Oryctolagus cuniculus: one gene and its partners. The protein of the gene in region 1 interacts with the protein of each later gene in a pairwise test. Links are inferred from orthologs where the notes say so. Each region holds a gene or a part of one and is shown on either strand. Other genes may lie near its edges.

Region 1 (4,191 bases):
ATCACTCACCGTCCAAACCGTGTTCAGATTTACCCTTTCCAGATTATTGCTCCGGAGTCCTTAGACATTGCCTTGTCAACTAAAACCCAACCCAGTAAAATTTCACTTCCTCCAAAACAGCAAGGCCGAGTATCATTTATTGTGACTCCCGGGCTCCATCTACCCAAACATACTACGCAGAAGAATCTAAAACGTATGGACACAGCCGTAGCCAAAAACCTTCCCAAGAATTCCTGGTTACGTATATGTGGCTTCAGATTCCCATCTTTTTCTGTCTTTCTATAGCTCTCCTGACAGCAGCTCTGCGGAGGCCAGTAATCTACACGAGTTTGTGCTGTTACACTCTGCATCCCAGTGGGGCGTGACGCAGGCTCTGCTATTTCTTACCGAAACACTCACAATCAAAAAAGACAAATGTACCTATTAGGATGCACGGGAATGACTAGGCTGAACAGTCCAGCGGACAACCGCGGCTCCGCAGAATCCGCATCCTCACTGATGCTAAGAATTATGCTTTCCACACGCTGCATCTCGCTCCTTCAAACCATCGCTCGCGCTCCAGCAACTCCCCACCAAGGCTGTGCGCCGAGCCGCCACCGTGCCACCTGCCTTCTGCAAGGTGGCACTGTGGACGCGAGGGCTGCAGCCGCGCACCCTGCACCCTGACTCCGGCCACGGCTGGCGTCCCTAACAAGGACCTCGGCTTCCTCGGGGGAAGCGGGCCGCCTGCCCCCAACGTCGCCAGCGACTCGCTCGGGGTAGCCGGAGCCGGCACAGCCCCCCGAGGGGACGGGACCTACGCCTCTTCCTCGCTGCCTTAGGGCGTCCGCTCCGCAGGCCCCCTTTTGGCCTCCAGGGAGCTCACTTCCACCCCGTCTACAGCCATCTACGGACGCGCATAAAATCCACGCCGAGACTGCTCTCGTCTGTGACCACGATTCCTGGCCCGGTTTTCAGGACTTTTTTTTTTTTTCCTCCCGAAAGTCGTTAGCTCAGGCTCAGCCACCCAGCCGCTGGCCCGACCGGTTTCTCCCCCTTCCTCCTCCTCCCAGGCAGGCGGCGGGCGAATCCGCGCAGCGCCGCTAACGCGTGCGCCGGCCCGGCCGCCCCTCCACGCGGCCCGCGGTCCCTCAGCGCCCCGCCGGCGGTCGCTCTGTCAGAGGCCGCCCGGCCAGCGGCTCCGGGGAGCACGCCGGGGCTTTCCGGCAGCCCGCCCGCCAATGGGAGCCCACAATGCAGCGAAGTCCGGCCGGGCCTCCCGGCAGCGCCCGTGCCGGCTTCCCCGGCTCCACGCCTACTGTACCCGCGCGCGTGCCCGGCGAGGGCGCGAGCGCGGCGCGGCGCGGCGCGGCGGGGGCGCGCGCCCGGGGGGCCGGCGGCCGCGGCGGCGTGCGCGTGCGCACTGGGGTTGTTTTTCACAAAGCTGCTCTTAAAGTGAGCTGGCAGGCTCCGGCCGCCCGTCTTTGTAAGGAGACCACTGAGACGGGCGGGCGCGCGGAGCCGCCGCCGCAGCCTCTCTGCTGCCCTGACTTTTAAGAGCTCTCAATGAACTGTCTGTAAGGAGCTACTGATCCTGCCTGCAAGGGTTTGCATTTTTGCACGGCAGAAGCATCGATCAGTGTTGAGTGAAGATCCCATTTTATATGCGATCTTGACTTTTTTGGGGGTCTTACATTATATTTTTTATAGATTTTTGTTATCAACATGGTGCTGGGGAAGGTGAAGAATTTGACAATAAGCTTCGACTGTCTGAATGACAGCAATGTCCCCGTGTATTCCAGCGGGGATACTGTCTCAGGAAGGGTGAATTTAGAAGTTACTGGGGAAATCAGAGTAAAATCGCTTAAAATTCATGCAAGAGGACATGCGAAAGTACGCTGGACGGAGTCTAGAAACGCCGGCTCCAATACTGCCTACACGCAGAACTACACCGAAGAAGTAGAATACTTCAACCATAAAGACATCTTAATTGGGCACGAAAGAGGTAAGTTTTCCTACCATTCGGCAGTCTGCAGGCTGGCTTTCTCGGGTGGACGTGGTTCTCGCAGCGTAGCTCGGCCGTTTGCTGGAGGCTAGCAAAGTTGCGAGGTTTGGGTTCTCCTTGACGGGAGGCTGTAATGCGTGCCGGCATCTGCAAAGCGACTGCAAACTGCACCTCGTCTCCACCACCCCTGGACCCGGCTCGGGCTGTGCCATACGCACTTGCGGTCCATTTGCACCTCACTCGGAAATTCTGCTTGCCTCCGAGTCCATGATTTTACTGCTACGTTTTCAAATGAATTGATGAAAGCTGCGGTCCGGCATCAGATTTTTAAAATTTTTTCCTTTTTCTTTGCAACCTTAGCTCAAAACCTGAGCTTGAAGGAAGGAATGAAATAACATTTTAGGAGGGTTAGTAGATGTGTTTCCTTTTAATATTAACGTGCAAAGGACTTTATAAGGAATTGATCATTGTTCTTTGAGAGAGGGTTTCCCTGGCTTATTTTGACATATGGTATTACCAACACCCCACGTGTTTTTTTTTTTTTTTAACCTCTTCTTTCCAATGCTTTGGGAATTTTGCATCAAGCATTCCTTATTTTAAAAGACAGTATCTATCACCGTGGCCGGTGTTCAGTCAGGTTCAGAAGCCATTCAGGGCCAGCAGTTTCTTCTCCAAGCATCATGTCTAACTTTGGAACGTGCATTCAATGAAACCCTGCCAGTCCAATGGAATTGAAAAGTAGACCGCACACTGGACTTGATTTTTGGTTAGAAGGGGGAGATGGAGGGTTGTCAAAGGGAGAGGGGGTCCTGAGATTTCCCCTCTATTGTTTAGATGGCTACATTGTGGAAATATAGGAGACTCTAAGCTTGTTTTTCTAAGTTTCCACCCTTTGTTAGAAGCGGTTCAATCCTGTTTCGGACCAGTTCTGGGGGGTGGTGAGGAGGGGCGCTTGTGCAGCTCTCAGCAGATTGGTTACACGCGTCAGGTGGTGGCGATGACTTAATTCTAGCCCAAGAAGAATATAATGTTAAAACTGGTTATGTAATTTTGTGCTTCTCCTTTTTAATGCAGTATTTAGTGCAAATGCTGACTTTTTCAGAAAGAGGCTCGCTTTTATCTGCGTTTTTATATTCAAGATATACATCCCAGGGAAATGCTAATTGAATTAAGGGAAGGGAGAAATAAAGGAAGCGTTGAGTTACAGCATTATTGCATTTTTTTTTTAAATGCTCAGGTGAAATCAGTTCTTCGGCAGGGTTTCCACAGTTCACCTAGGTGGTTTTGCATCTTGAAGTAATTTCTAGTTCATCTTCCCAAGCGTTAACTCTGATAGGAAATGCAAAGCGCCTGATGACAGTTCTGCTGTGTGCTGCAAAGCGCACACGCGAGTTTGATTTCGAGCCTTTTATAAAATGAGAAGAAACAAAAGGTTTTTCTCTCAAGAGTTGAGCCTTGCAGTGAAGGGAAAGTAGAACAATGCGTTGGGGCGGAAAGCAAGGTCGTTAGCTGCACCTCGACTTCGTGGTGAGGAAAACCGAACGCCCCGCACCCAGCCGGGCGCCCCCCGAAGCCGGCCACGCGTGGACGAGCTTCTGCCTGGAGTAGTTTCAATGACTTTAGCTGAGAGCTCTCACACGAGCCTGGCAGCGGAGGCCCCGCCCCGGGCGGCCGGCGAGGGGCGGGGCCAGGTTTGTTAGCCTGTTGCTAAGGCGATGCCGGGCGCTGATTGGATTGGGCCGGCGCGGGTGGGGAGAGTGGGCTCCGGCCGGCTGGGGCGCGGCTTGGAACCGGCGTGCGCCGGTAAAGGTCCCTCCCGAGCGGCCGCCCCCGCCCGCGCTCGCGCGAGTGCGTTCCCGGGCTTCCGTGGGCTCCCGGGGCCCGCGTCGCGGCATGCCCTGCTGCTGTCCCTCTCTCCGGCCTGTTGGGGCCACGAGGGGGACGCCTCGTACGGGGCGCCAGCCGCTGCCGGCTTTCACAGGTGCAGAGTCGCCCTGGGCGCAACTTTTGGCCAGAGACCCTCGTAGAGGGGGCTGGCGTGAGGAGAGCGAGCGGGACCCCCGAGGTCGCGGGCGACGTGTCGGAGTGGCTCCCTTTCCTCTCGGCTGCCACAGACATGTGCCGACTGTCCAGTCAGCAGTCTGGCTACCTTGACGTGACCTGAGGGGGAGTCTGGCACTGGCTGGCCAGGGCAAAGAAAAGTGGTT
Region 2 (4,076 bases), on another chromosome or scaffold:
ACATGCTGTTCCAGCTGGCTGGCTACTCCCCTGCCCCCTCACACGACTCGGGCGACGTCACCTCCTCCAAGACGCCGTGCCTGACCATCCTGTCTGAAGCTGCCCCTCCCGCCTCCCCTGTCACCTTTCATCAGGTAGGGTGCACACTCTGGCTTCCTCCATGAGAATGTCACCCCACCAGGGCGGGGCCATGGCCTCTCTCTGCTGGATGCCCAGGTCCTGGCACGCAGCAATCCTCCAAATACGCGTCTGACAGGCTGGCGTTGTGGTGCAGCAGGCGTAGCCACCATCTGCCATGTCGCACCCCACACATGCCCTGGTTCAAGTCCCGACTGCTCTGCTTCCTAAACCAGTCCCTGCACCCACATGGCCATTTGGGGAGTGAACCAGTGGATGTAAGATCTCTTTCTTTCTGCCTTTCAAATAAAATAAAATAAATCAGAAAACCAGTGTGTCTCGCGCATCATGGGGTGGACGCTGTCTCCAGGATGCACCCCGACACCTCTGAATGCTATCTTATTTGGGAAGGGGTCACTGCGGCTGTCCTGAGCTGAGGTCACCCTGGGGCAGGTGGGCCCCTCATCCCGCATGACTGGCACCCTGGTCAGAAGGGGACACACACAGGGAACACCCAGTGGAGACGGAGCTGTGCTCCCACAGTGCCTGCCCGGAGCCTTCGCGGGGAGCACGGCCCTGCCCACCCTGGAGCCTGGGCTCCTGCTGCCGGGAGCAGGGGGGGAAGCAGTCCCGGAGGTTCTCCCCTGCTCTGCAGCCCCCGCTGACCACACAGCGAGTGAAGGGCTCAGCAAACGGAGGCGCAGGTCTCGCCCTGCAGCCCTGTGTCCACTGCTGAGGGACTGCCCAAGCCAGTCTCCGCTGACTTGTCAAAGACAGGGAGTTTGAAACAGGAAAGCCAAGCAGGGGCTCTGTCCAAGGACATGCACATCTGTCCCAAACACCCACCCCAACTCACCACCAACCACGCCAGGCCAACTCAGTCAACGCAAAACCACGTGGCCCATGGTGCCCGGCACACAGTAGGCGCCTTGTGAGCCAAAGAGACTCCTCACACATCTCCTGCTCCCCAGAGTTCCCAAGCTGCTCCCCTGTTTGGGAGGCAGGCACCCAGGTCCCCACGGAGGGGTGGCAGTATGGTGCTCTGACCCCACCTGTCCCCTAACTTGGGAGAGTCTGGCTGGGTGCGAGGCAGAGCCAGGGACCCCTCTGTGTAGCACAAAGGGCAGAAGGTGAGTCCCAGCACCCAGGCCGCTCTCAGTCCCCTGCGGTGGCCAGCGGGCAGAGGCCAGCCTCCAGGTACCACGGCATGACTAAAGCTGTCACCGCCCCAGCTCCCTCCCTCGCGGCTCAGTGATGCCAGGTCGCCTTCCAGGAGCAGCACAGCCAGGTAAGCCCTTGGGCCCCAGGCAGAAGCAGGGAAGGGGTCCTTCCGGAGGCCCCAGGGCCCCTGGCCATGCCCCAGCCCAGCTGGATTGTGAGGGACAGCCCGGCTCAGGTGCCCTGGCCGCCACCCACGCAGCACCCAGAACCTGCCTGGCCATGACCACGCACTGACCCGAGCCCCAGCCCGGCTGCATCCTGCACCACTGACCCATTTTCCTGCCCAGCCATGGGGGGGGGGGGACCAAGTCCACGGGGCCAGGCACCCGTGCACACCCACCTCACAGGAGAACCGGGGTCCTCATGGCAGCCCATTGAAGGGATGTGCAAAACGGTAAAGCTCCTGGCTCTCCAAGGGGTAGAGGTGAGACGGCTGAACCAGAGCTGTGTGGCCCCAAGCCAGGCCACCAGCTGCCACCCTCCGTGAAGGGCCTTGGGGAGCCACTCACACCCAGCCCCCTGCAGGATGCCTGTCCCCGGCGCAACACAAAGAGCACTGGTCTTGGAGTTTAAGTTCAAGTCCAAGTACCAGTCCCTTCCCTGTCTGGTCTCAGTTCCTCCACTCTCACACCAGTCCAGGATCTGGCCTGGCTCAGAGGGTACCCGGAGCCGCGCTGCTCCACCGGACTCTGGATCAGGGGTCTTTCTTGTCTGTGTTCCGGGACCCCCAACTCATGCGCCTCACTGTGCGTGGATCTGAAGTCAAAGACCTGCGGACGTCCGAGCCTGGGTGGACGTCTGGCCGCGCACAGAGACAGGCGACCTGGCCACCAGTGCAGCCTCTGGGTCCACTTATGGACTGGCTGGGGAGCCTGGGGCTGGGGAAGGTGGTCTTCCATGGCGGAGCCCTCGGGTCGGTGAGTGGGGTCGTGAGCTGCCCACTGGGACGCTTAACAAAGAGGGGGCGTCCCGCACTCCGGGGCTTCCTGGTCCCGCTCCAGTCCAGGGCACCTACCTGGTGCCTTGGGGTCGGCACCCTCGGGGCCACCTGGGGCGGACTTGAAGCGGGGGCAGCGGACCGAGCCGGTTCTTCCTGGTGGGACGTGCACGGGCGACAGATGAACACGCCCCCGGGGTTCCCCGCACTCCCGGGGACCCGAAAGCCGTGGGGACAGCGCCTGGAACGGAGTCCGCAGCCCGACCCCCGGCCCGCGAGTGCACATGCGCCCTGGCGGCGACCCCGCCCACAGTGTTCCCATCCCTCTCCCTCTTCGCGTTTCCCCCCACGACCACTGACCATAGTAACCGGAGCCGCCGGGCCAGGTTCCGCCCCAGAGAGGAGCGATCCGGTGCCGGAGGAAGCCACGGGAGGTGCTGGCCGGCTCCGCCGTTGGGTCGGGCGGCGGGGCCCTCGAGGGCGCTGGCGTGAGTGGGGAATACACCCGACCGCTCCGCAAACCAAAGGCTAGCCCTCCACTGTGTCCCAGCAAGACACACGCCCCGCGATTGACGTCGGAAGCGGGCAATCAGAAGCCGGGACACTGGACGTCACAGAAAGTGGGTGGGACTTCACGCGGTCTCAGCCTATGCTTTAGGGTCCATTTGACAGGAGACCGCCCCCTTTTAAAGACACAGAAAGCTTTTAAGTAGCTAGGGAGTTATCCCAACCCAGAAAGACAGGTCCTCCTTTGAAAAGGCTGAAGGGCTTTTGAGCCAAACTGCAAATTGAAGTCCTCTGAAAGATTAGCTGGCCCTCATTAATTCATAAACAAGGTCGCATAAGCATAGTTTGCTCAAGATGAGAGGCCAGGCACTTAGGGAACACGTGTCCAGGAACATGAAGTCACCCACCTGCTCCCGTGTGGCTTCTAAACAATATTTCACCACCGTGCACCCATCAATCAGTGGTCGCCGCGCACCAAATTAAGGTTTGCAGGCGAGCGGACCTCCGCGGCGGCTGACGCTGCGGCCGCGGGCGAGTCGGGCGGCCCACGCCGCGCCCCCGCTCCTCACCAGGGCGCAGACGCGGTCACTCACAGCTCCGCGGGCGGGGGCGGGGCTCCCTGCGCGGCCCCTCCGGGCTTCTGCTTGGGGGTTCTCAGTTTAGGGCGGTGCGGAAGAGCTCCAGCAGCCCCCGGCCCAGGCACGCGGCTGGGCTCTTGTCTTCCACGCTGGCCTCATTTCCTGGGTGTGGGGTGTGGGGGGTCCACAGAGGCCCCAGGGCCAGGCGCCGCACCGGCCAAGTTTTCCCAGCTCCAGGGCAACAGAGCACCTGCCGTAAGCCCCAACACCCAATGTGTATCCTCCGAACGTCCACCCAAGACTGTGGGGTGGGTCCTGCTGTTACGGCCCCTGCTTTACAGACGGGGAAACTGAGGCACGGGGAGATGAAGGTTCGTGCCCAGATCCACGCGGCACACACGTGAGTCACTCAGCCCCCAGGCAGTGTGAGTCAGGCGCTGTTTTTATTTTATTTATTTTTATTTGAGAGGAGCGAAGCAGTGAGGAGACAGAGCACTCTTGTCGGCTGGTTCACTCCCCAAATGCCTGCAACGGCTGGGGGCTGAAGCTAGAATTCAGTCAACGTCTCCCACGTGGACGCAGGAACCCAATGGCTTGAGCCATCAGCACTGCCTTCCAGGGTCTGCAGGAGCAGGAATCGGTTGTCAACAGCCAGGAGCCCAGGCACTCGGATCCCGGCCACCACGATAACTACTAAGCCAAGTACCCGGCCCCAG
Region 3 (3,562 bases), on another chromosome or scaffold:
GGTGTTCTCGCTTTGGCCGAGAGTGAGATTGCTTCATCAGGGAGGATGGCACGGGGGACGCCCCGCCCCCGTGTGCCCAGCCCCCGCTGCCTGCGCAGAGCTCCCATTGGGTGCACTTCAGGCACTCTCCCGCGATGAAGGAACCTCTTGCCCAGGGGGTTCTCAGAAAGCTTCCGGGTCGTGCTGTGTGAGCACAGATGTCAGGGTCACAGGTGTCATACTCCGTTTAGGTTCAAGACCCCAGGAGGCAGGTGCCTGGGCCCCGCCCACCCCCAGGTTAGTTAGTTGGGGACCACCTGGGGACCGAGCCTGGTCCCTGTCCTCCCAGCCTCTGCCACCCCGGGTCGCACAGCCTCCTCTGCGTTCCTCCGCCGTGTCTGCCGTGCACCTGCGGCCTGTGTGTCTCAGGCCTGTGTGACTCGGCAGCATCTCAGCTGGCCTTTGGAATCCACCTGCCTGCAGTACCCTGCGTCTTCCTAGGATTCCAGCGACTCCTCAGGACCCAAACTTCCTAGAGTCTGTAATTTTCAGAGCTTCCGTTGTGACTGTGCTGTTACTGGAACTGTGGTTGCTTTGCTGCTGTCAGTCATCAGTAAATACTCGCTTTTCCTGTAAGTTCTGTTTCTCAAGGAAAAACGTGTTTACGGTGTTTTTCGCTTGTTTCTTCCAGGGATTCACAGAACTCCTTCCCATTGACCTGATTAAAATTTTTGATGAAAATGAGCTGGAGGTTTGTATCATCAGCAGTTCACGTGGCTGCTTCCAGTACCTATCACCGCCTTACAAATGACGCTGAAAAGCCCTCGGATCCCAGTGTCCTAGGGAATAGTTTAGGTGACTTCTGACCCCGAGCTTCCTCGGGGGTGTTTGCCGATTGGGGCATAAGGAATAGAAGAGCAGTAGACGGTACATTTCCTGTTTGTGGCACTGGGGCTGGAGAGCAGACCGAGTAGCACAGGCCCTCCAGGCTGTGTGGGGTTCCCGGCCCTGTGCCCCCGCTGTGCTGGCCAGGCCACAGCTCCTGCGCTGCCTCCCCAGTGCCCCCAGGGCTAGATGCATCCGCTAGGGGCTACGGGACAGGGCTCACGGAACTTGAGTGGTTTGTGGCAGGACAGCAGAGAGCAGAAGGCCGGTTAAGGACCGGCTGTCCCAGCTTTGTGGTGTTGATGAGAAATTGCACCCAAAAAGCGCTCGGCTCTACCCCTGGGTGCATGGAGAGAAACAGGAGCAGGAGAGCCTGGACCGTGGAGAAGCACTGACCGGTTGTCCAAGCCACAGCCGGCAAAGCCTTTCTCCGGTGCTAGAAACCTCAGGATAGATGATGTAACAGAAACTGTGTACTATAGGCCCTTGGTTTGACAGGGAGGGAAACTGAGGCAGGGAGGAGGCCGTAACTTCACAGGTCTGCCCAGCAAAGTCTGGGTCAGGCCTGTGAACCCGGCTCCGAGTCTGCCTCGTTCAGTTCTCTCTGCCCTCCGCCGCAGTCCCGCTGTGGGCATCTCACGTCCGTTTGTCCCTGCTGGAGAGCTGCACAGGAAGAGCAGACCTCCGACCAGATGCCAAGTCAGAGAACCAGTGATCCCCGGCCCGTCTGCCTCTGGATAGAGGACGTGGCCGGCAGCACCTGCGTAGGCCAGGCGGGGAGAGACGAGTGCGTGCTGTCACCGGGCTGCGGTTTTCAGTAGTAAGACAGATAAACACTCAGGAGAGGACACAGCCCAGGTGGCGTGCAGAGAGAACCAGAGACGTGAGGAAGGTGACGGAGGAGGACTTTAGTGCCAGTGTGCCTTGTCCAGGCCTCGCACAAGGGCTGGGGTTGGGTTACCCCTGTACCTGTGCTACGTCCATGATGTGTGGCAGGGAGAGTGAGGTGCACCTGCGCGCCTGCTGTCCGTGGGTTGTGTGCATTGCCAACCAGCCAGCCAGCCTGCCTGCGTCACTCACATCTGGTCACTGTCCCCCACAGTTGCTGATGTGTGGTCTCGGGGATGTGGACGTGAACGACTGGAGACAGCATTCTATCTACAAGAACGGCTACTGCCCAAACCACCCGGTCATCCAGTGGTTCTGGAAGGTAACCCGGGCCCCGGCCTGCCCCTGTGCCCTCTCCCCCGGCAGCATGGAGGGCTGCCTGGCACCTGAGGACCGGTGCTGGAGACGGGGTCTCTTAGTGCTTAGAGTGCGGGGGAGGAAGAGCAGACGGTGAGGCAGGGGTGAGGCTGGCCTGGCGCCATGTGCTGTCCTTCCCTGGCCCCCGGCTAAGGCGATGCTCACGGGGCAGACAGCTCCGATAAGGACTGCACTGGTTCCAGGAGCCCCAGGACAAATCCTCATGGCGTGAGCAGCCCCTGGAACGTCTGAATACGAACGTGCTGTGGCCCTGGCTTCCCAGGGGCTGTTGTCTGTTTAAAAATCATCATCTCCATTTTTGTATATCATTCTCTGTTTAAAATCGTCTTTTCCATTATTTTGTATCGATTACAACATTTTGGTTGTAATCAACCAAATGATTCCAACCAGAGATGGAAATGAAACCTCATTTTGCGGCTGAGGGCCAGTGTTCACGTCCTGGGTAGCTGAGGAAGGAAGTGAAATAGGATTTGGGTTGGCCAAGAGACAGATGGCACACCAACTCTGAACAAAGTCACACTCCCCCTCCTCCCCAAATGATTCAGTTACGGGGAATAAAAAAACCTTTAAGTGGCCGGTGCCGTGGCTCAATAAGCTAATCCTCCATCTAGCGGCGTCGGCACACCGGGTTCTAGTCCCGGTCGGGGCGCCGGATTCTGTCCTGGTTGCCCCTCTTTTAAGCCAGCTCTCTGCTGTGGCCCGGGAGTGCAGTGGAGGATGGCCCAAGTGCTTGGGCCCTGCACCCCATGGGAGACCAGGAGAAGCACCTGGCTCCTGCCTTCGGATCAGCGCGGTGCGCCGGCCGCAGCGCACCAGCCGTGGCAGCCATTAGAGGGTGAACCAACGGCAAAAGGAAGACCTTTCTCTCTATCTCTCTCTCTCACTGTCCACTCTGCCTGTCCAAAAAAAAAAAACAAACAAACAAACAAAAAAAACCTTTTAAGTGGTTTCGATTTCTAAGTGTGTACTGATACCTCACGCACCAGCAGAGGCAGAGAGCAAAAAGCAGAGCCTGCAAGTCCTCACCGAGTCTCCCTCAGCTTGGGTCTGAATTCCGTAAGGCGGTCGAACGGACATTACCAGTAGCCCCTGCAGCCGTTCAGACCCGGGCGGTGCCTGGCCTTGCCTCTGCTTTCTGTTCTGTTTACCAAGTGTCGTCTTTGGAGAATGTACCTGCAGCCAGAGTTCCTGTCTCACCCCCCAGTACCCCGCGTGTGGGCACCTCGGACACACCCAGCGTTTACCGTGGGCTCTAAAGGAACCTGCAAGCCCAGAGCACAGAACCGCAACCTTGACGCCATCAGAGTTTGCTTTTCACGTCCTTGACTTTGGCCTGGAGAGAGACAACGATCGCCCCTCGCTGGGACTGGGGAGGCCGGGGTTGCCATGGACTGGAGTGCGCCCAGTATGCCTGGCACCTGAGGGGTACCTG

What was found.
Region 2: the proteins of ARRDC3 (region 1) and OTUB2 interact in binary tests that used the Homo sapiens proteins (3 or more experiments, as listed by UniProt). The two-hybrid records come from large-scale screens. The link is inferred for Oryctolagus cuniculus from reciprocal best matches to the Homo sapiens genes ARRDC3 and OTUB2.
Region 3: the proteins of ARRDC3 (region 1) and NEDD4L interact in binary tests that used the Homo sapiens proteins (3 or more experiments, as listed by UniProt). The link is inferred for Oryctolagus cuniculus from reciprocal best matches to the Homo sapiens genes ARRDC3 and NEDD4L.

The regions. Positions count from the first base shown.
Region 1 is NC_091445.1:14,128,073-14,132,263, reverse strand, and holds the start of ARRDC3 (arrestin domain-containing protein 3), read left to right. Parts: upstream 1-1,377; 5' UTR 1,378-1,704; coding exon 1,705-1,984; intron 1,985-3,796; exon of another isoform or gene 3,797-3,877; coding exon of another isoform or gene 3,878-3,965; intron 3,966-4,191. UniProt on the Homo sapiens protein: Adapter protein that plays a role in regulating cell-surface expression of adrenergic receptors and probably also other G protein-coupled receptors.
Region 2 is NC_091451.1:38,893,975-38,898,050, reverse strand, and holds the start of OTUB2 (ubiquitin thioesterase OTUB2), read right to left. Parts: upstream 2,841-4,076; 5' UTR 2,639-2,840; coding exon 2,636-2,638; intron 1-2,635. UniProt on the Homo sapiens protein: Hydrolase that can remove conjugated ubiquitin from proteins in vitro and may therefore play an important regulatory role at the level of protein turnover by preventing degradation.
Region 3 is NC_091441.1:19,985,036-19,988,597, reverse strand, and holds part of NEDD4L (E3 ubiquitin-protein ligase NEDD4-like), read left to right. Parts: intron 1-670; coding exon 671-730; intron 731-1,966; coding exon 1,967-2,074; intron 2,075-3,562. UniProt on the Homo sapiens protein: E3 ubiquitin-protein ligase that mediates the polyubiquitination of lysine and cysteine residues on target proteins and is thereby implicated in the regulation of various signaling pathways including autophagy, innate immunity or DNA repair.